3 linked regions of the Saccharomyces cerevisiae S288C genome follow. The gene in region 3 interacts genetically with the main gene of each other region. Each region holds a gene or a part of one and is shown on either strand. Other genes may lie near its edges.

Evidence for each region. A genetic interaction does not mean that the proteins touch.
Region 1: mutations in TMA108 (region 3) and PUF4 impair growth when combined (synthetic growth defect), as found in Saccharomyces cerevisiae (one study listed by BioGRID).
Region 2: mutations in TMA108 (region 3) and ERR1 together harm fitness more than expected from each alone (negative genetic interaction), as found in Saccharomyces cerevisiae (2 studies listed by BioGRID).

The regions. Positions count from the first base shown.
Region 1 is NC_001139.9:463,622-470,337, forward strand, and holds PUF4 (Puf4p), read left to right. Parts: upstream 1-2,519; coding exon 2,520-5,186; downstream 5,187-6,716. Other genes in the region: KAP122 (Kap122p), read left to right, coding at 1-1,290; BIL2 (Bil2p), read right to left, coding at 1,422-1,814; drug-responsive transcription factor PDR1, read right to left, coding at 5,471-6,716. UniProt on the Saccharomyces cerevisiae protein: Is not essential for haploid growth, but may affect diploid formation.
Region 2 is NC_001147.6:1,077,683-1,083,119, reverse strand, and holds ERR1 (phosphopyruvate hydratase ERR1), read right to left. Parts: upstream 2,845-5,437; coding exon 1,531-2,844; downstream 1-1,530. Other genes in the region: seripauperin PAU21, read right to left, coding at 1-402; HSP33 (glutathione-independent methylglyoxalase family protein), read left to right, coding at 3,862-4,575; FEX1 (fluoride transporter), read right to left, coding at 5,209-5,437.
Region 3 is NC_001141.2:86,906-96,031, reverse strand, and holds TMA108 (Tma108p), read left to right. Parts: upstream 1-3,243; coding exon 3,244-6,084; downstream 6,085-9,126. Other genes in the region: VHS2 (Vhs2p), read left to right, coding at 1-967; OM45 (Om45p), read right to left, coding at 1,232-2,413; tropomyosin TPM2, read left to right, coding at 6,317-6,802; REV7 (Rev7p), read left to right, coding at 7,316-8,053; AXL2 (Axl2p), read right to left, coding at 8,195-9,126. UniProt on the Saccharomyces cerevisiae protein: Putative zinc aminopeptidase which may be involved in ribosome biogenesis.

The DNA of each region.
Region 1 (6,716 bases), on a different chromosome or scaffold from region 3:
TCGAACGATAAACTTGAAGTTATGGTTATCAAGACTGTTTCAACATTATGTGAGACATGCCGTGAGGAGTTGACTCCATATTTGATGCATTTTATAAGCTTTTTAAACACAGTCATTATGCCAGACTCCAATGTTTCACATTTCACTAGAACTAAATTGGTTAGATCTATAGGTTATGTCGTTCAATGTCAAGTCTCCAACGGTCCAGAGGAGCAAGCTAAATATATTTTACAATTGACGAACCTATTGAGCGGCTCAATAGAGCATTGTTTGGCTTCATCGGTACAGTTACAAGAACAACAAGATTATATTAATTGTCTATTATACTGTATATCTGAGCTAGCAACAAGTTTGATCCAACCTACTGAAATCATCGAAAATGATGCATTACTACAAAGGTTATCTGAGTTTCAAAGTTTCTGGTCCAGCGATCCCTTACAAATCCGATCGAAAATTATGTGCACCATTGATAAGGTCTTGGATAATTCAATATATTGTAAAAACTCCGCCTTTGTGGAGATCGGTTGTTTGATTGTTGGTAAAGGATTAAATCTGCCCGACGGGGAACCGTACTTCCTCAAGTACAATATGTCTGAAGTTATGAATTTTGTTTTGCGGCATGTCCCCAACTGTGAGCTTGCTACTTGCTTGCCTTATTTTGTTTATTTATTAGAAAAGCTTATTTCAGAGTTCAGGAAGGAACTAACACCACAAGAATTTGATTTCATGTTTGAAAAGATCCTTCTAGTCTATTATGATGCATATATTATCAATGATCCGGACCTTTTACAAATGACAATAGGTTTTGTTAATAACGTTTTGGACGTGAAGCCAGGCTTAGCTATTGGCAGTAAACATTGGACATCATTTATTTTACCTCAATTTTTAAAATTAATACCTTCAAGAGAAAAGTTCACAATTGTTGCGGTGGCAAAATTTTGGACTAAGTTGATCAATAATAAGAAATACAACCAAGAAGAACTCACAACTGTTAGGCAACAAGTTTCCTCTATAGGAGGAGACCTTGTGTACCAAATTATGTATGGCTTATTCCACACACAAAGGTCCGATCTGAATAGTTACACAGATCTGCTAAGAGCTTTGGTAGCCAAGTTTCCAATTGAAGCAAGAGAGTGGCTCGTTGCTGTTTTGCCCCAAATATGTAACAATCCTGCAGGTCATGAAAAATTTATTAATAAATTACTTATTACGAGAGGAAGCAGAGCAGCTGGAAATGTTATTTTGCAGTGGTGGTTGGATTGTACCACACTTCCAAATTACCAAGGATGATTTGTTAAGAATTTCTCCGCTGAGGGTGAAGGCTATTCTTTGTTACATTTTATTTAGTAATGCGTTGATCCTTTTTGATAGATTTTTTTTTTGTGCTTTAAAGATAGTAGCAGTATATATGTGTGTAAAAGCTAATCATCAGAAGTGCAGCATTCATTGCTAGTATTTAGTGATAAAAATTTTAGAATTTCCATTTCTAATTGTAATTGCTTTTCATTCCAATACATGTTTGAGCTTCTGGGGGGTAAAAATACATTTCCAGACAGGGCGTCAGGTTGAAAGCAGTTACTGAAACATAGAGAGTCGACGTCAGGAGGAGGCTTCAAATGGTTTTCTGAAAGTGATTCGGTCTTATTTTTCCATTTTCTAAAATGGTGAATCCTTTCTCTGGAAATGTGTGATCCCTTTGCCTTTTGTGAAAACTTTTTTAACGAGCTTTTTAGGTTATTAGTTGTCTCAAGAAGGTTTATGGGCCCGCTGGTCTCGATATCTGCGTAATTTAATGGACGTATCGTGTCTTCCATGGAGTGAATTGTGATTTGTGAATTATATCTGTCCAATACCGTTGCCTTGTTGGGAGCTCAGATAGAAAAGACATCTTAATTCCAGACAGTCTATTCTCTGTCTATTTCTCTTTGTGACTGCAAATTTTAATTTGTGACGCCTTTTCTTATTACTCATGTATTTGTCACTCTTGACGATTGTTTTTTTTCTATATTTTTTTTGTTCTGGGGTCCTCCAGAGAATAAAAAATAATGATCAATATAGTAGATAGTATAGTTATATTCTTATTCGTTGCACCTTGTTTAACAAATCACTCAGACTCAAAGAGAATATCGGTTGGTTATCTCTCTCCGAAGGTGAACAGCAAACAGTACCTCACGTCTTTTTTTTGAATAGTTTTTTTTTTTGTTGAAACAGAAAAAAAACTTTCTTCCGTATATTACATTGTACATTATTTTTATTGTATTTTAGTTTCCAACGTTAGGATTTGAGCCGTCATTAATATTATTCGTTTTTGTACACTATTCCAGACGATTTATTTTTAGTACACTTAAAATTCCTGTTGATATTGTCCACTAGTTCTCTTTTCATATTTTATTTTCGCTTATTCTTTAGGTTCTTTTAAGAGTCTCTGTTCATTTTCCGTTCTTACTGTTTCTTTGTCCTCGATATCTTTTAAGAAAGAGAGAACTAAGCGCTGTAACATTTTTAAGTGGACCTACGTTATGTCTACAAAAGGTTTGAAAGAAGAAATCGATGATGTACCATCAGTAGACCCTGTCGTTTCAGAAACAGTCAATTCTGCTTTAGAGCAGTTGCAACTAGATGATCCAGAGGAAAACGCCACCTCTAATGCATTTGCGAATAAAGTTTCTCAAGATTCTCAATTCGCTAATGGCCCTCCGTCGCAAATGTTTCCACATCCACAAATGATGGGTGGAATGGGCTTCATGCCCTACTCTCAAATGATGCAGGTTCCTCATAATCCTTGTCCATTTTTTCCGCCCCCTGATTTTAATGATCCAACAGCACCATTGAGTAGCTCGCCCTTGAATGCAGGCGGTCCACCAATGTTATTCAAGAATGACTCACTTCCATTTCAAATGCTGTCTTCGGGTGCTGCGGTAGCAACTCAAGGTGGACAAAATCTAAACCCATTGATAAATGACAATTCAATGAAGGTATTGCCAATCGCATCGGCTGATCCGTTATGGACTCATTCAAACGTACCAGGATCAGCATCTGTAGCCATTGAAGAAACCACCGCTACTCTACAAGAAAGCCTACCATCTAAGGGCAGGGAGTCTAATAATAAGGCTAGTTCGTTCAGAAGACAAACTTTTCATGCTTTATCACCAACTGACCTTATCAATGCGGCCAACAATGTAACCTTGTCAAAGGACTTCCAATCTGACATGCAGAATTTTTCTAAGGCTAAGAAACCGTCTGTAGGAGCTAACAATACTGCAAAAACCAGAACTCAATCCATATCTTTTGATAATACTCCCTCCTCAACGTCATTTATACCCCCAACCAATAGTGTTTCTGAGAAATTATCCGATTTCAAAATAGAAACCTCGAAGGAGGATTTGATTAATAAAACTGCACCAGCTAAAAAAGAGAGTCCTACAACTTATGGTGCAGCATATCCATATGGGGGACCTTTACTTCAACCAAATCCTATTATGCCAGGCCACCCACATAATATATCCTCCCCTATCTATGGTATTAGATCACCTTTTCCTAATTCTTATGAAATGGGCGCGCAATTTCAACCTTTCTCTCCGATTTTAAATCCTACGAGTCATTCACTAAATGCAAATTCTCCAATTCCTCTAACCCAATCGCCAATTCATCTTGCACCAGTTTTAAACCCTAGTTCAAATTCTGTTGCCTTTTCAGATATGAAGAATGATGGTGGTAAGCCCACCACCGATAACGACAAGGCGGGTCCAAATGTTAGGATGGATTTAATAAATCCTAATCTTGGGCCATCAATGCAACCTTTCCACATATTACCTCCCCAGCAAAACACCCCCCCTCCTCCCTGGCTTTATAGCACTCCACCTCCCTTCAACGCAATGGTTCCGCCTCATTTGTTGGCTCAAAATCATATGCCGTTAATGAATAGCGCCAATAATAAACATCATGGTCGTAATAACAATAGCATGTCAAGTCATAATGACAATGACAACATTGGTAATTCTAATTACAACAATAAAGACACAGGTCGTTCTAACGTTGGTAAAATGAAAAATATGAAAAACAGTTATCATGGCTACTATAATAACAATAATAATAATAATAATAATAACAATAATAATAATAACAGTAATGCTACCAACAGCAACAGCGCGGAAAAACAACGTAAAATTGAGGAGTCGTCGAGATTTGCGGACGCAGTTTTAGACCAATATATCGGAAGTATTCACTCATTGTGTAAAGACCAACATGGTTGTCGTTTTCTGCAAAAGCAGTTGGATATTCTCGGCAGTAAGGCGGCGGACGCAATTTTTGAAGAAACTAAGGATTATACGGTTGAATTGATGACTGATTCATTCGGTAATTATTTGATCCAGAAGCTATTGGAAGAGGTTACCACAGAACAAAGAATCGTACTCACAAAAATATCTTCCCCTCATTTTGTCGAAATTTCCTTAAACCCTCATGGTACTAGGGCATTACAAAAACTCATTGAATGCATCAAAACAGATGAAGAAGCACAGATTGTTGTTGATTCTTTACGCCCTTATACTGTCCAGTTGAGTAAGGATTTAAATGGTAATCATGTTATTCAAAAATGTTTGCAAAGGTTGAAGCCTGAAAACTTCCAGTTTATCTTTGACGCAATCTCTGATAGCTGTATTGATATTGCTACTCATAGACACGGGTGTTGCGTTTTGCAACGTTGTCTAGATCATGGGACTACAGAACAATGTGACAATCTGTGTGATAAGTTGCTAGCCCTTGTTGATAAATTAACTTTGGATCCATTTGGCAACTATGTGGTGCAATATATAATTACCAAAGAGGCTGAGAAGAACAAATATGATTATACGCATAAAATTGTCCACCTGTTGAAACCAAGAGCCATCGAACTTTCTATCCATAAATTTGGATCAAATGTGATTGAAAAAATCTTGAAGACAGCTATTGTTTCGGAGCCAATGATTCTGGAAATTTTAAATAATGGTGGCGAGACGGGTATTCAATCATTGTTGAATGATAGCTACGGAAATTACGTTTTACAGACAGCATTAGACATTTCTCATAAGCAAAATGACTATCTCTATAAAAGACTATCAGAGATTGTGGCGCCTTTACTGGTGGGCCCCATAAGAAATACACCTCATGGTAAAAGAATCATCGGAATGTTACATTTAGATTCATAGTTGATACATATATCCTCAGTTTAGCTTTTTTTACGTTAGCCTCATATAATATCTTTTGTACAATACTAAAATACATCATTTTTTTTTTCGTTGAGGATCAAATGAATATCCAAAGCAAAAAAAATAGGAATTTTCACTTTATGGTATACTGGTAAATAGTGTTGAAGAAATAAGAGAAGGAGATGCCCTAGAAAACAGAATGTTCTTATTTAAATAAGTAAACTCAAAAGAAAAAAAAAAGGAAGGAAGTTTTTGAGAACTTTTATCTATACAAACGTATACGTTTAACTATCTGGATAAACGTCGCTCCACAGGATACTGTAGAGGTCCTCAAGATCACCGTTATTAACAAATTCATCTAGTGTCCCCAAATTAAAACTAGTTGCAGAAAAATTGTTACTGTTGTTGTTGTTAATATTGTTAATATTGTTTTTATTGTTGTTGTTGTTGTTGTTGTTGTTATTGATTTCATTTGTGTTCATAAATGGTACTTGTACTGAAGTGGGTATTTGCTGCTGAGCATTGATTGGTTTATTAGATTGGACTTGCGTATTATTTTGCCCATTTGTTGGTTGCGCGTAATCGGGATTGATCATATCAGACACGGATAATGACCTAAATGAAGGCAATTGTGCAAACTCCGGTAGTGAGTTGTTTCTCACTGGGGAAGGTGCTGAGCGACCATTGAATGGCAATTGAGGCGATTCAATGCCATTTAGTAAGCATGAAGTGCCCGTCTTAAGACTTGGGAGATCCGGATTCAAATTTTTTCCCGAATTATGCTTCATCTGCTTATTATCTTCATTTGACATTAGTGGTTCCTGAAACTTTCTATTTTTCAACATTTGTGAGACCGTTAAATGGAATCCTGACTTCTGAACAGGTTCTAATAAAAATCGATAAGCGCAAGAGTTTGTATCCAAGACAAGTTCTATTATACCTTTTAAATCTGGCGCATTCTCATCAATATATTTGGAGATAACATCGAGGTTGGTGCTAGAGGACTCTCCGTATGCCAAAAGCATGATACGAGTGACGATTGTCAGGAAAGAAAAAGCTCTTGTATAGTCTTTAAAGCTTTGGCTGTTGAAGACATGCTCATTGGTCTCATTTTCGGAAAAAATTTTTATATCCAAAAATCTTTTGAAGACTCTAATCATATTCACAACGTCATTTACTTTAATGAATTCGGCCACTGAGAATGCTTGTGATACCAAAATAATGCAACTGATAGAATAATGGGCGAACGAACGGTATACGGAATAATCGTTGTCAAAGTCTAATAAGATTTTGTTCATATCGGTCCATGATTTGTAAATCTTGTGAAGGTATATTTTCAAGTTTTCAATTAGTATTGAGGGCCTTCTGTGCACGCATAATCTGGCGACAATATTATCAGATTCGTTAACCATTCTGCAGAAATGGTGCTCGTAAAATAGAACAAATTTTGAAGCCATAATCTTATCCTCTCTTGAAACTTTGAGTTCAGTACTATCTTTAGAGAATGCAATATCGAACAATTTTCCAGTT
Region 2 (5,437 bases), on a different chromosome or scaffold from region 3:
GACTCTGGTGACTTGTTCAGCTGGAATACCAGTCAACATGGTGGTGAAGTCACCATAGTTGAAAACAGCTTCAGCAATCTCAACTGGGTAGGTCTCTGTTGGATGAGCTGCTTGAAACAAGTAGTATTGAGCCAAATGAGCTCTGATATCGGAGACGTAAACACCCAATTCGACCAAGTTGACTCTTTCGTCAGATGGAGATAGAGTGGTAGTGGCTGGAGCAGCGGCAACACCGGCAGCGATAGCGGCAACACCAGCAGCGATTGAAGTTAATTTGACCATTGTATTTGTTTTGTTTGTTAGTGCTGATATAAGCTTAACAGGAAAGAAATGAATAAAGACATATTCTCGAAGGCATATAGTTGAAGTATCTCTATTTATACCTATTCCTTCATTGGTCATCACCACTTAAACGATTCGTTAACAGATGCTCCTTTAGCACTTCACATATTCTCCATATCTCATCTTTCCCACAACTTCATGATCACTATGAAGATGTTTTTGTTTTTAAACGAGGCATGCATCTTTATAGATTCTGTATGCGAAGGTATTGTTTTCTGGGGCCTTTGTCTATTCGTATGCGCCGAATGTGAGAATGCCAGTTATAGGGGTGCCGAGGTGCCTTATAAAACCCTTTTCCGTGCCTGTGATACTTCCTTTTTTGGTATAGCAGAATGTCTGAATTTAGTTGCTATAGATCCTCGTTCAGAAGCGTATTGCTAAGCCTATCTCCAGTATACCCTAAACGATCGCCGAGAAAAAATAATACTGTACCCTCCTATTTCCCGGAATTGTACAGAATAGTAGGTATGTGCTGGGAGTCGTATATTGTTAGAGTCTGTAATTTTTACGCGCGCCTAGTGGATTCGTTGATACGATTACGTTATTCTAAACCGTCGCAAAGCAAATTGTGTTGAAGTAATTCAAGACTTTAAATCACTTGTACCAAAATCATTGTTGCGAAAACTTATCCTCAGTATTAGTTTCTTGACCGTAACAGTAGTTGAAAAAAATAAAATCATTTCTATGATCGATACACTTTCATTATTTAACTTCTCTATTATGGTGTAACTTCTTACTTTTGTCAGAAAAAAAGATTTCAAGACACAACAAGAATGGGGTCAAAGGTCTGCTTGTACTATCAGGAAGATTTGATACCAACCGCGTTATAAGGGTTACTAGAAAGTAATAGCTGCTAAAAAATTTAAACCGAAGAGATTAATCAGAAAGCTGAAAAACTGCAGTGTTAGTAGAGTTGTAAGCATTTCTTGATTGGAACAGCCTTCCCCCACACGTCCACCCTTGTTCAGACAGATTCGTAATGATTTTGTGTGTAGGCAATGGAAAACTTTAAAAACGGTTTGATTTCCTACAAGATAAAACATATGAATAAAATAACTTGTGTCAAATGCCCCATTTCCATACTGTAACCCAAATCAACGAAATAAAAAATAAAACCTCATATGATTTACTTTATTTAGTCATAAAAAAACAAAAAAAAAAAAAAAAAAAAGGAAACAAGACAATCCTTTATAGTTTGTTTCCATCATGAAACCTATGACCAGCATATATACAATCGTCCCCCAGTTCCTCTTCGATACGCAAAAGTTCATTATACTTGGCCAGTCTTTCTGATCTCGACAAAGCGCCCGATTTAATTTGACCACATCTTAAACCAACGACCAAATCAGCGATAAACGGATCTTCGGTTTCACCTGATCTATGCGATATCATTACACCCCATCCAGCATCGAAAGCCTGATTGGCGGCTTCAATAGACTCAGTCAGAGTACCGATCTGGTTGAGTTTCAGCAACAGAGTATTCGCACATTTCTCCTCTATAGCACGGGCGATCCTGGTCTTGTTGGTGCATGTCAGGTCATCTGCAATAATCTGAACATTGACAGTCTTTAGGAAGGCAGACCACGAGGACCAATCATCTTCGGCGTAGGGATCTTCCAGGGAAATGATTGGGTATTTCTTTAGCAATGAATGGTAATATTCTGCTAACTGGGCTGGACTGAGCCAGTGAGATGGGTCAGAGTTCGGTTCCTTGAAATTTAGGTCGTATTTCCCGTCCTTATAAAAAACAGAAGGAGCACTATCGATTCCTACTTTCACTCTACCCTCGTAACCGCATATGTTAATGGCTTCCACAATCATGTCCAAGGCGTCTTCGGCAGTGTCAATATCGGGGGCAACTCCACCCTCGTCACCAACATTTCCAGCGGAAGGTCCATATTGCTCCTTCGCCAATATCTTCAAATGATGGTAAACTTCCGAACCCATCCTCATGGCTTCTGCAAAGCTCTGAGCCCCGACTGGCGCGATCTTGAATTCTTGCATAGCTAAAGAGCCACCGGCGTGGGCTCCACCATTCAAAACATTGAAAAAAGGAACAGGAATAACAAAGGGGTCCTGTCTAGCATCCGCTAACTCGGCTATATACTTGTAGAGAGTAATTCCCTTTTGTGCGGCAGCAGCTCGAGCAACGCACAAGGAAACACCAAGGATAGCATTGGCGCCCAACCTTGACTTGTTAGAAGTTCCGTCTAACGATATCATGAGCTCGTCTATGCCCTTCTGATTGGTTACACATAATTCGGACTTGATTAAAGCAGGCCCTATGATACTATTGACGTTACTGACTGCCTTGGTCACCCCTTTTCCCATCCATTCGGACTTGTTCCCGTCTCTAAGTTCAACAGCTTCGTGAATGCCGGTGGAGGCACCAGATGGGACGATCGCTCTGAAGAGACCATTCTCTGTTGTAATTTCAACCTCAACAGTCGGATTGCCGCGAGAATCATACACCGTTCTAGCATGTACCTTCGTGATGGACATATTTTTATCGTTGAGATTCGATTTTTTCCTCACCTTGTTTTGGTATTTCTATTGCAAGACAAAGTGAAAGAAGAAGAAGTGGTGGTAAAAAATAACTATATATAATGAAAATTGTAACCTGGTGGGAGTGCAAACTGTAAGTGATAACCTGCCAGATCCATGTTTCTATTATATACCTAAGAACCAGCCAAGTTAGGTAAACGAGGAGTCTTTCAATATCTCTTTTCTAGTGAGAATGTTATTTAGGTAAATGAACAAGTTACCACTATACTACTCACCCCCTACACTTTGTTTGTGACCTCTCCCCTTATCCAGTTCATCGAAACTTTTTTTTCAACTTGTGGCGATCTGTGACATTGTCTACTACAAGAACCGATTTTGGTTGATGTCTGTAAAAAAAACAACCTTACCTTTCCAGATCCAACTTTCCAGGAGAGCTGCGTGAGTTTCAAATATTTACCATGTCGGAGAAAGCTCCCAAGTACTTCCTTGTTCTTGTCATTTTTTCCTTATCTCCATCCTTTAAGGAAGGTATTTCCATTATGCGATTCTATAAATCCGAGCATGCGAGTATTTCTTTTCTTGGCGCGGAGTCGCTGATGACGCAATAGGCACATTCACGAACATCCAGGACTGGTAATCTTCTCGTCTTAAAGAAAATCCAACCACCAGTAAGAAACTCTTGGGTAAAATGGGGTATCTGAAATATTGCATAGCTGCAAATGAAGATATTCAGTATCAGCATAGGTATTTTTATGGAGGATAGGTAAAGAGAAAGAAAAAAAAAAATATCTTTCTGACTGTCGTTCTTGCAATTATCACAATTAGGGGACTTTAAAACCGATACTTGATATATGAGCACAGTCAAGGGGTCGGTTCTTGAGATTTTAATGGAAAACAGGAAAGTTGCACATACAGGTCTGCTTTTCTTTGCTTGCTCCAGACAACGATACTTAGAACTAAAACATATTTCTAGAACACTTTTCTCCTTCATTCAAAAAGAAAACTGGCCTTGCAATGACTCCAAAAAGAGCGCTAATATCTCTTACTTCATACCACGGTCCCTTCTACAAAGATGGTGCGAAAACAGGCGTTTTTGTAGTTGAGATTTTGCGATCGTTCGATACATTCGAAAAGCATGGTTTCGAAGTGGACTTCGTTTCTGAGACTGGTGGATTTGGCTGGGATGAACATTACTTGCCAAAGAGCTTTATTGGTGGCGAAGATAAGATGAACTTTGAAACGAAAAATTCCGCCTTCAATAAGGCGTTAGCGAGGATCAAGACCGCAAATGAAGTCAACGCCAGCGACTATAAAGTATTCTTTGCATCTGCTGGACATGGTGCTCTATTTGACTATCCCAAAGCTAAAAATCTGCAAGATATTGCATCCAAGATATATGCCAATGGGGGTGTGATCGCTGCCATCTGTCATGGACCGCTCCTTTTCGATGGATTAATAGATATCAAAACAACAAGACCATTAATCGAAGGCAAAGCTATAACAGGTTTCCCACTCGAGGGTGAAATCGCCCTGGGAGTTGACGACATCTTGAGGAGCAGAAAATTGACAACGGTTGAACGCGTTGCAAACAAGAATGGAGCCAAGTACTTGGCGCCAATCCATCCCTGGGATGACTACTCTATTACAGATGGAAAGCTAGTTACGGGTGTTAACGCAAATTCTTCCTATTCGACCACAATTAGAGCTATAAACGCATTATATAGCTGAAACAAAAGACAAGGGAATTGTTGAAGGGGAGGCTTTTAATGACTTTCAGTTTCTGTGAAGAGAAGGCTAACAGCTCAATGGTTCGAAAGGTAAAGAAAACGGCAGGTCGGTAGCACTCGATTTTGCTAGAATGGAAATCATATAGAGAACAATTGAATAGTAGGCCTTGGTTTTTAGTGTTGTATTCATCATGGTCATATGTGACATAGGTAATGTACATATATATATAAAAAAAAAAAAAAGCAATGCTGTGAGATCATTCGTTACTTACGAAATACGCAGATTGCAATTTGAAATAAGCTGTGTTTTCTTTTTTTTCCTTTTTTTTTCTTTTTTTTGGCTTGTTATATACAACTTTTTTCTATTTCTGTTCTTTTTATGAGTAATTAATTGGTACATGGGAAATAAATATGAATTATATTAAATGAAGTAAAAGTAAAAGAAAACGGGGAAATTTATCGTTTTGTAGTAAATAGATGATGGAACGCATTCATAAAATCTCACAAAATATTACAATAAACCGCAGTAGTGGGTAAAAATGTATTATACAACGTCTAAAATCTTGAAAATGAATTAAAAAAAAAAAAAAAAAAAGTGGGATGATTATGCAGGGAAAAGTATAAAGAAAAGATCCTAACAAATCGGGTTGGTCAATCCTCTAGTCCAAGCATAGGATCCGAGAGTTATCACCAATAAGCAATATGAAATTGCAATCGAAACAGTATAATAAATAAGCATGTTAATAAATGATAGCTTATACCCTTCATTGATAAACGTGCTAATGGTACTCAAAGTGCCGCAAAATCCGGATATTAACGCAGAAACAATATGACATGAATTCAACGAGTTCACAATTGGAACG
Region 3 (9,126 bases):
GCAGACTCCACTGGATCACCGTCGTACCTTAGAGAATTTCGTCCCTCCTGCATTAGACGCTGGCTGTTCTATTGTAACTGACGACACGACTGGCCTTGATGACGTTGATATGGTTTATTCGAGAAGGCCATCTACCATCGGCCTGGATAGAGCCCTAGGTAGGACAAGAAGTCTTTCGTCACAATCTTTTGATAACGAAACGTCGCCTGCGCATCCAAGATCTCCCAACGACCATGGTTCAAGACTACTAAGGTTTTATTCCTACGCTGACATGTTGTCCGATGACAACAATAACAACGTTAGTAATGCGACATCAACATCATCAACTGCGAACCCCTTGAGAAGACCCCCAATGCAAGGTCACTACTCGTTCTCGTCGTCCCTTTTGAATTCTCCTTCTCATTTGCCTTCCCCCCCATCAGCTTCGGCATCACCACCTCAGCATATGAACTTCACCAACCCTTTCATCATATCTAGACGTTACTCTAACACAACGATCAACAATGCCAATGGGGGAACCAGCGCTGGAAGCACTACGGGGGCCGCACTATCAAGATCGCCATCGAACCAACAGTACTTACTTAAACAACAAAGGTCACCTTCAGGGAGCGCCCGTTCAAGAAGAAACAGCAATAGGCCCGGCAGTGCTGCCAACATTATGATCGGGAAACCTAAATCCAAATTCCATATGGAATCCAGTGGCAGTGAAGGGTTTTCTTCCGAAGAGGAGGACAACACTATGATTGAAAGAGATAAACTCAATCTAAAGCAAAAATTGCAGTCACAACTGGCACAACCACCATCAATTGCCAACATGGTTAACGATAATCACAATAATACTAATAAACACAAGAATACTATTAATAATAACATCAAAAATAGCCCTGCGTTCACAAACTCGAATCCAAGTTCAAAATCAAATTCAAACTCTACAATAACCTCTATGAATCCAGACACAACCAAATAAAGAAAACTGAAGGGCCGCGATTGTTCATTTCTTCAACCTTCTTCTCCTACTCTAAAAATTCATTTAAGTCTCTTTTTTCCATATATATAGATATATAACGGTATTTTATGTATGCACGTATACCCCAATAATGCCACTAATTTACTCCGTTTTCCAATCCATAATCAGCAAAGACCATATGTGATTTCAAATATAAAAAATGAGAAACATGTGAATATGTATATATGTTATGCGGGAACCAACCCTTTACAATTAGCTATCTAACTAGTCCTTTTTCGAGCTCCAGAATTTACCATCACCCTTATCATTCCATTCTTTGAATTTGTTCTTGGCTTCATCGTACTTTTTCAACGCTTCATCGTACTTCTTTTGGGCCTCATCTTTTAAAGCCTGCTTGTCATTGTCGACCTTGGAAGTCCATCCAGACCACCAGTGGCTGCCGTACTGTTTCAAGTCCTCCTTCGCCTTAGATAACGAGTCCATGGCATCGGACACGTTCTTATCCAGTTGTTTCTTTGAATTCTCATAATTCCATCTTAAATCGTCCATTTCGTCCTTGGAAAGTTGAGCGGCTGTTTCACCCCATCCTTCTAAACCTCTGGCTACCCGTTCAGCAATCTGTTGCTCGCTTTGCTCCCCTTTGTTGTAACCAAACCAGCCCTTTTCCTTGATCTTCTTCAGCTCGTCAAGACGTTTTTGCGCCTCGCTTGGCTCTGAAGAAGCATTTCTCTTGGCTTCCTCCAACTCTTCTCTACCAAACTCCTGTGCCGTATCACCCCAGCCTTGGACACTTCTTGCAGCGGCTTCTTCAGTATTAGCGTCACCCGTGTTATTCTTCAACAGGCGTTTCAAAGGATTACTGTTCCTTTCCTGTTGGTCTAGCTTGTCCGAAAGCTCATTAAAGTCTCTGGCTCTCCCGTACCTTTCGTACTCAATGGATGCTCTGTCCAGAGCGGCCTTCTTCTCTCTCATCACCGTGGACAAGAGCTCCTTCTCATTACGATCCACTGCCTCTTCGAAACGCTTCTTAGCAGTATCAAATTCCCCGATGGCTATGGCTTTCCTTCTTTCAGCCTCACTAAACCCCCAATTGAAGATGCTTTGCGAGGAAGAATCCTTGGCTTTTTGGCCTAGCTGCTTGCGTGTCTGAGCATCCTCTTCCGGTGATATCACACGCTTAGTTACCTTTGGAGCCTCTTCCCTAGCCTTTTGAGATACGCCCAGAAGCGCGTCTTTTAACGACAAGGCATCTTCCTTTATGCCTTGCTTTATGTTATGTAGCTTTCCCAACTGTGGGGGTGCTGAACTGCCGTACTCCTGGCCGTTGTAGTAAGCGGAGACGTTGCCCTCTCTTCTCTGACCCTTGGCCTTCTGTTCTCTGACCATGATGCTAGCTGTGATGGCAGCTGCCAATGCTGCACTGCCGACAATTATTCTTGATGACATCCTTATCTGCTTGTTTTATTAAATGATTAACGTTACTGGCCAATCAAAAATACCCTTTATTTCAAGAAAGGGCAAAGAAGCAGGACTTTAGCAAGAACCGTTTCCCCTTATATATACTCCTCTTCAAGGAACTCGACAAAATAAGGGTCAACAAACTCCTCCCTTAACCCACACGGGCCACCGGCGAGCTTGTGCTCCTGCGAATAGCAGTACACTATTGGTTGTTGCAAATCCTGACGATTCACTTTCAAACACCATGCAGGCAGGAGAGTCAAACAAGACTGTTTGCTGTGTTATTGTCACCGCTGATGGTTGTGATGACCACCGCTTACCTATGACGAGGGGCAACGTCTTCACATTTCATGTTTACCACCAATATGCCAATTATTTTAAGAAATCTGCATAACAGAAGGACGCCAGCTGGCCATAGCATTTATAGATTCCTGCATTAATGTAACCGTCCGCACACCGTATGTATCAGCTTGTCAATTATTATATGAAATGTATATATATTTACGAACTTCAATTTTGTCAACATATTTCTGGAACAAGACTGGCTGGAACGGCTCAGCACACACAGGACAGAATATCAAAATTCTCGAGTACTTTGAGAACCCCCTTCAAGTGAGGTACCACCCTTGGTTGTAGTCTTGTATATTAATCCTTCTTTTCTTTAGTATAAATCGATCCTTTCTATTATACAATTCGCCGGTAATTTTTCAGTGAAAAACGAGTTTTGCAGTCAAACCATTCCTGGATGTGCTATACAAAAAAAAGGTCCGAAGACGTGTAAAGGATATATAACGCCAGGTTGATCATCACTAACCATCATGTCTGATAATTTGTTATCTTTAGAGAATCCGGTGGTGCCTAGTCACTATGAGTTGCGTCTAGAAATTGACCCTAAGCAGTCGTCGCCCAATTTCAAAGGATCCGCCATAATCCATTTGAAATTCAATCCGAACTCCACCACCTTAGCTTCTATCGAAGACAGTTTTACCCAGTTCAAGTTACATTCCAAGGATTTGATTGTGTTGTCTGCACATGCCACCATAGGGTCTACTAAGTTTGATCTAAAAATTTCTCAGGACACTGGAAAGCATTTGTCGATTTTCAACTCTGAATCTCCTATTCAATTGTCCAACGATTGCCCTCTGATTTTGTCCGTGCAATACGTGGGTAAAATTCGTGACATAAAAACACATCATGATAAGACTTTTGGTATTTTCAAAACCAATTTTATGGATCGTAAAACCGGTACTGCCAATAATCACGTCGTTGCTACTCACTGCCAACCGTTTTCCGCTAGCAATATTTTCCCATGTATTGACGAGCCTTCAAACAAGTCCACTTTTCAATTGAACATTGCAACGGATGCACAATATAAAGCCGTTTCCAATACTCCTGTAGAGATGGTCGAAGCTTTGGATAGTTCTCAAAAACATTTGGTGAAATTTGCCAAGACACCTTTGATGACTACTTCCGTATTTGGTTTTTCTATTGGTGATTTAGAATTTTTGAAAACGGAAATCAAGTTGGAAGGTGATAGGACTATTCCCGTTTCAATTTATGCACCTTGGGATATTGCTAATGCAGCTTTCACTTTAGATACAGTCCAGAAATATCTACCTTTGTTGGAATCCTATTTTAAATGTCCATACCCTCTGCCAAAGTTAGATTTCGTCCTACTACCATATTTAAGTGACATGGCAATGGAGAACTTTGGTATGATCACCATCCAACTAAACCACCTGCTCATACCACCAAATGCCTTGGCCAATGAAACCGTCAGAGAGCAAGCACAGCAACTCATTGTCCACGAACTCGTTCATCAATGGATGGGCAACTACATATCTTTTGACTCGTGGGAATCTCTTTGGTTTAATGAGTCTTTCGCTACTTGGTTAGCTTGCCACATACTAGAACAGAATGGTGACCTATCCCATTATTGGACCTCGGAACCTTATTTACTACAGCAAGTGGAGCCGACCATGTGCAGAGATGCAGCTGACGTTAATGGAAGAAGCATATTTCAGATTGCGCAACGGAACACTGGCATAGATTCTCAAACCTCCGATATTTTTGATCCTGAGGCATACACAAAGGGTATTATCATGCTGAGGTCCCTGCAATTGGCTACAGGCGAATCTCATCTACAAAAGGGCCTGGAAAGTGTATTTGAAGATACTAAAACATTTCATGCGAGAAGCGTCAAACCAATGGATATATGGAATCATATCGGAAAATTTTTGAAGTCTCAAAATATTACAAACTTTGTTTCATCTTGGACAAGAACGCCAGGCTTACCTGTCGTTAAGGTCGAAGTAGAAGAGAAAGACGGGAAAACGCAAACAAAATTGACTCAACACAGATTTATCAATCAATTATCTACTGAAGAAAAGGATCAGTTAGAAGATGTCCCATATCAGGTACCCTTATTCGGGGTTCTGCCAGATGGTAAAATGGATACTAAAAATGTACTATTGACGGATAGGACCTTAAAGTTCGATTATCCTATCTTAGTAATTAACCATTTAGCCCAAGGTTATTACCGCGTTTCATATGAGTCCGAAGAGTGCTATGCATTGATTAATGATAAAATAACTGAGGAGACGTTATCCGAGATTGACCTTCGGAAGATTTTCTTAGACTTGTCGCAGTTTATTGGAGATGAGGGTTTCCAGAATTCTATTCATTTGCACGGTCTCTTTAAGATACTAAACCATATCGCTTCTCCTTCCACAAAGATTGCATCAAAATATTGGGATCCTCTTTCCAAGGGGTTGGAAGTTCTGCAAACGATCGATCGTGCCAGTTTAACGAGCTCTAAATTACAATCTTTCTTAAAGAAAAAAATTGTCATTCCCCTTTTCAATAAGATTGATTGGCCCCACGGTGAATTTGATAAAAGCACAAACCCTCACGAGTTGAAAGTCATGTCTCAAGTCTTGTTTTTAAATAAAAACTCCGCAAAATGTGCTGAATTGTGTCAAATTTATTTTAAACATCTATTACAGGGCCCACGTTCGAGCGTACCGTTAGAATTAGTGAACTCAATCCTTGTCGTCGTATCGCAACATTGTGCAAACATCAAGCAGTGGAAGAAAATATTCGATTTGGTGAAACGCAGTTCCTGTACTGGTATCACAAACCATGTCATTAATATGTATGACCAAAACAGTAGCGAAACCGCCATGTTGATTCAAAACGGTGCAATAGAATCTCTTGGATTCTGTTTAGATTCTGATATCGTGAAAAAAACTTTGAATTTTATCACTTCCAATATTGAGTCAGAGGGGATGGAACTGGCATTATTCGGATTTAATTACAACTTTAAGAAGAGGCTGAACAAAAACGAGAAACCTCAAGACCAAGTCGTTCGTGAAACGATCTGGGAGTGGTATATGGGCAATTTTGACCAATGGGCACGGAAGGCTACAAGGAAAGGTACCACCACGGGGGATCATCTACACAAGGCGTTAAGGAGTATTTCCCTGATAATCTTTCAAATGTTTGTAGCAGACGAGCCACAGAAGATAGAAAAGTTTATTAATTTGGAGAAAGAGAAGTTGGGTCAAAGCTTGTTATCTTTGGACGACATCTGGGCCTCTGTCCAGCAAGATGAAGAGTCCAGAAAGACTATAAGAAGAGACTTGGCCTCCTTGGTCTGATTTTTTACAAGTATTTCAACACACTATCGTACGTAGATTTAGTAGTCTTCTAAAATAGTACTATAAACGATGTTCTCTTAGCAGAATTCGAGTTATTATTGTCATATACTACGAAAAACCTGTAGATTCAACAATAATAGGTTGGTATAAAAGAATGTAAACATAAGGAATATTAATCTAGTAATTTTTTTCTCATGAGGTTGAGAAAGCATCTAAAATAGCAATTAGCAAAATGGAGAAGATCAAAGAGAAATTGAATAGCTTAAAATTAGAATCTGAGTCATGGCAAGAAAAATATGAGGAGCTGAGAGAACAGCTCAAAGAATTAGAGCAATCTAACACTGAAAAAGAAAACGAGATTAAATCTTTGTCCGCTAAAAACGAGCAACTCGACAGTGAAGTGGAGAAGTTAGAGAGTCAATTGTCTGATACAAAGCAATTGGCTGAAGACTCCAATAACTTGAGATCTAATAATGAGAACTACACCAAGAAAAACCAGGATCTAGAACAACAGCTAGAAGACAGTGAAGCCAAACTGAAGGAAGCAATGGATAAACTGAAAGAGGCCGATTTGAACTCTGAGCAAATGGGTAGAAGGATCGTTGCTTTGGAAGAAGAAAGAGATGAATGGGAAAAGAAGTGCGAAGAATTCCAAAGCAAATATGAAGAAGCTCAAAAAGAATTGGACGAAATTGCTAATTCATTGGAAAATTTATGATTCCCATTGATAAGACTAAAATTACGGAAGATACAAACGACAAACGCGCTAAAGGCAACGGAGGTGATGATTTTATTATTGCTCACACAACTGATGTTGCTGACAGATGGCAAATCCTTTTCATTTTAGTTATTATCATTGGGTGCTTTTTGGAAAAAAGATGAACTAAGCCTCTCTTTATTTCGTCCATTTTATTCTAGCTTTTACATTATGCTTTCACCTTTACCAAAAAATAGTATGTATTTCTTTTCCCCTTGCTATAAATCAAAAGTACGTAGAAACATAAACAGGCGAGAAATACATATGCATATACGTCTACACTACTAATTTAATTTCCACTTTCTTAATATCAGTCAATCGAAACCACTAGCTTTCACACTAAGACTAGACCCTGTTTAACTAATATAAACTTTTCCAGAAAGCTAAAAAAAAGGTCGGAAAAAGAAGGTATACGTTTTTGCGACGACTGAGATCCAAGAAGAAAAAAAAAATAGTAATCGTTGCGTCAGCTTTATGAATAGATGGGTAGAGAAGTGGCTGAGGGTATACTTAAAATGCTACATTAATTTGATTTTATTTTATAGAAATGTATACCCACCTCAGTCATTCGACTACACTACTTACCAGTCATTCAACTTGCCGCAGTTCGTTCCCATTAATAGGCATCCTGCTTTAATTGACTATATAGAAGAACTTATACTGGATGTTCTTTCTAAATTAACGCACGTTTACAGATTTTCCATCTGCATTATTAATAAAAAGAACGATTTATGCATTGAAAAATACGTTTTAGATTTTAGTGAATTACAACATGTGGATAAAGACGATCAGATCATTACGGAAACTGAAGTGTTCGACGAATTCCGATCTTCCTTAAATAGTTTGATTATGCATTTGGAGAAATTACCTAAAGTCAACGATGACACAATAACATTTGAAGCAGTTATTAATGCGATCGAATTGGAACTAGGACATAAGTTGGACAGAAACAGGAGGGTCGATAGTTTGGAGGAAAAAGCAGAAATTGAAAGGGATTCAAACTGGGTTAAATGTCAAGAAGATGAAAATTTACCAGACAATAATGGTTTTCAACCTCCTAAAATAAAACTCACTTCTTTAGTCGGTTCTGACGTGGGGCCTTTGATTATTCATCAGTTTAGTGAAAAATTAATCAGCGGTGACGACAAAATTTTGAATGGAGTGTATTCTCAATATGAAGAGGGCGAGAGCATTTTTGGATCTTTGTTTTAAGTGCAAAAATGAAATTTGAAGAATGGAATTAAAATTAAATGTCTCTAAGTATAAAAACTAAATAAAATATAGGGTATCTGTAAACCACTAATAAAAAATAAAACAGGAAAATAAAATTAAGCAAAATATCGTTGCGTATAATCACAGCATTTCTGGGATGCGTCCGTGAATGTCCTTAACTTGACCAACATTGACATTACTCTTATTTGAAAAATCTACTAACCTTTTCTTACTTGGTCTTCTGTCTGGTTCCATGCTATGGACCCAGCAAAAATTTTCACCATCTTTAACCGGAACAAAATCGTCAGAAGATGAAGTTGACATTGTTGTGGGAGTGATTCCGTTTTTACCGCTTTGAGAGTCTTGAATATTTTGTAAGTGGCGGTTACGATGCTTCGTTACGTTATATGGTGATGGTGTTACTGATTTTCTTACGGGAGAAGGGCTAATATTGCTGTTCCAAGGGTCCAGTGAAGACATAGTGACATCCCTTGACGTACGTTTTTCCTTCTCTGGTGCTTCTAAATCGAAAAGTTTTTCTGTATCAACAGTTTTTTGTGATCCGTAACTGTCTCTGACAATATCAGAGACTGGTGACAGGTTGCCAGTATATCGCCAGGATTTATTTACTGCTGGTTCACTATCCATATACACAGAAGAAGACCTATTCTGTGGGTCAAAGAACGGGCTCTCTGGAGGCTGTACTGGGGGTTTTGCTAATAATTCTTCTTTACTTTGGGATTGGAACTGATCATTGTATGTATTCATACCTGATAGAGAATCTCTCTTTTCATCCACGCTGGAAATATCAGATTCAGTGGCAGAGTGGTTATCCAATTTCAAAGTGTTCAAAGCAGCCAATCTTCTTGCTATTGAAGTATCATCGTACGAGGAAGCATCATCATCAAAGGGGTTGTTCAAAGGTGTAGCGTTTTCTTGATTTGGTTTATTTGCAGGATTATTCAAATCAGGTCCACTAATAGCATGCGGTAAGTTTTCATCGTCTGGATTTTCCCTTCTGCGTCTCCAGAATATTAGGAAGCAAATGAGAGCTACTAGGATAACGCCTAATG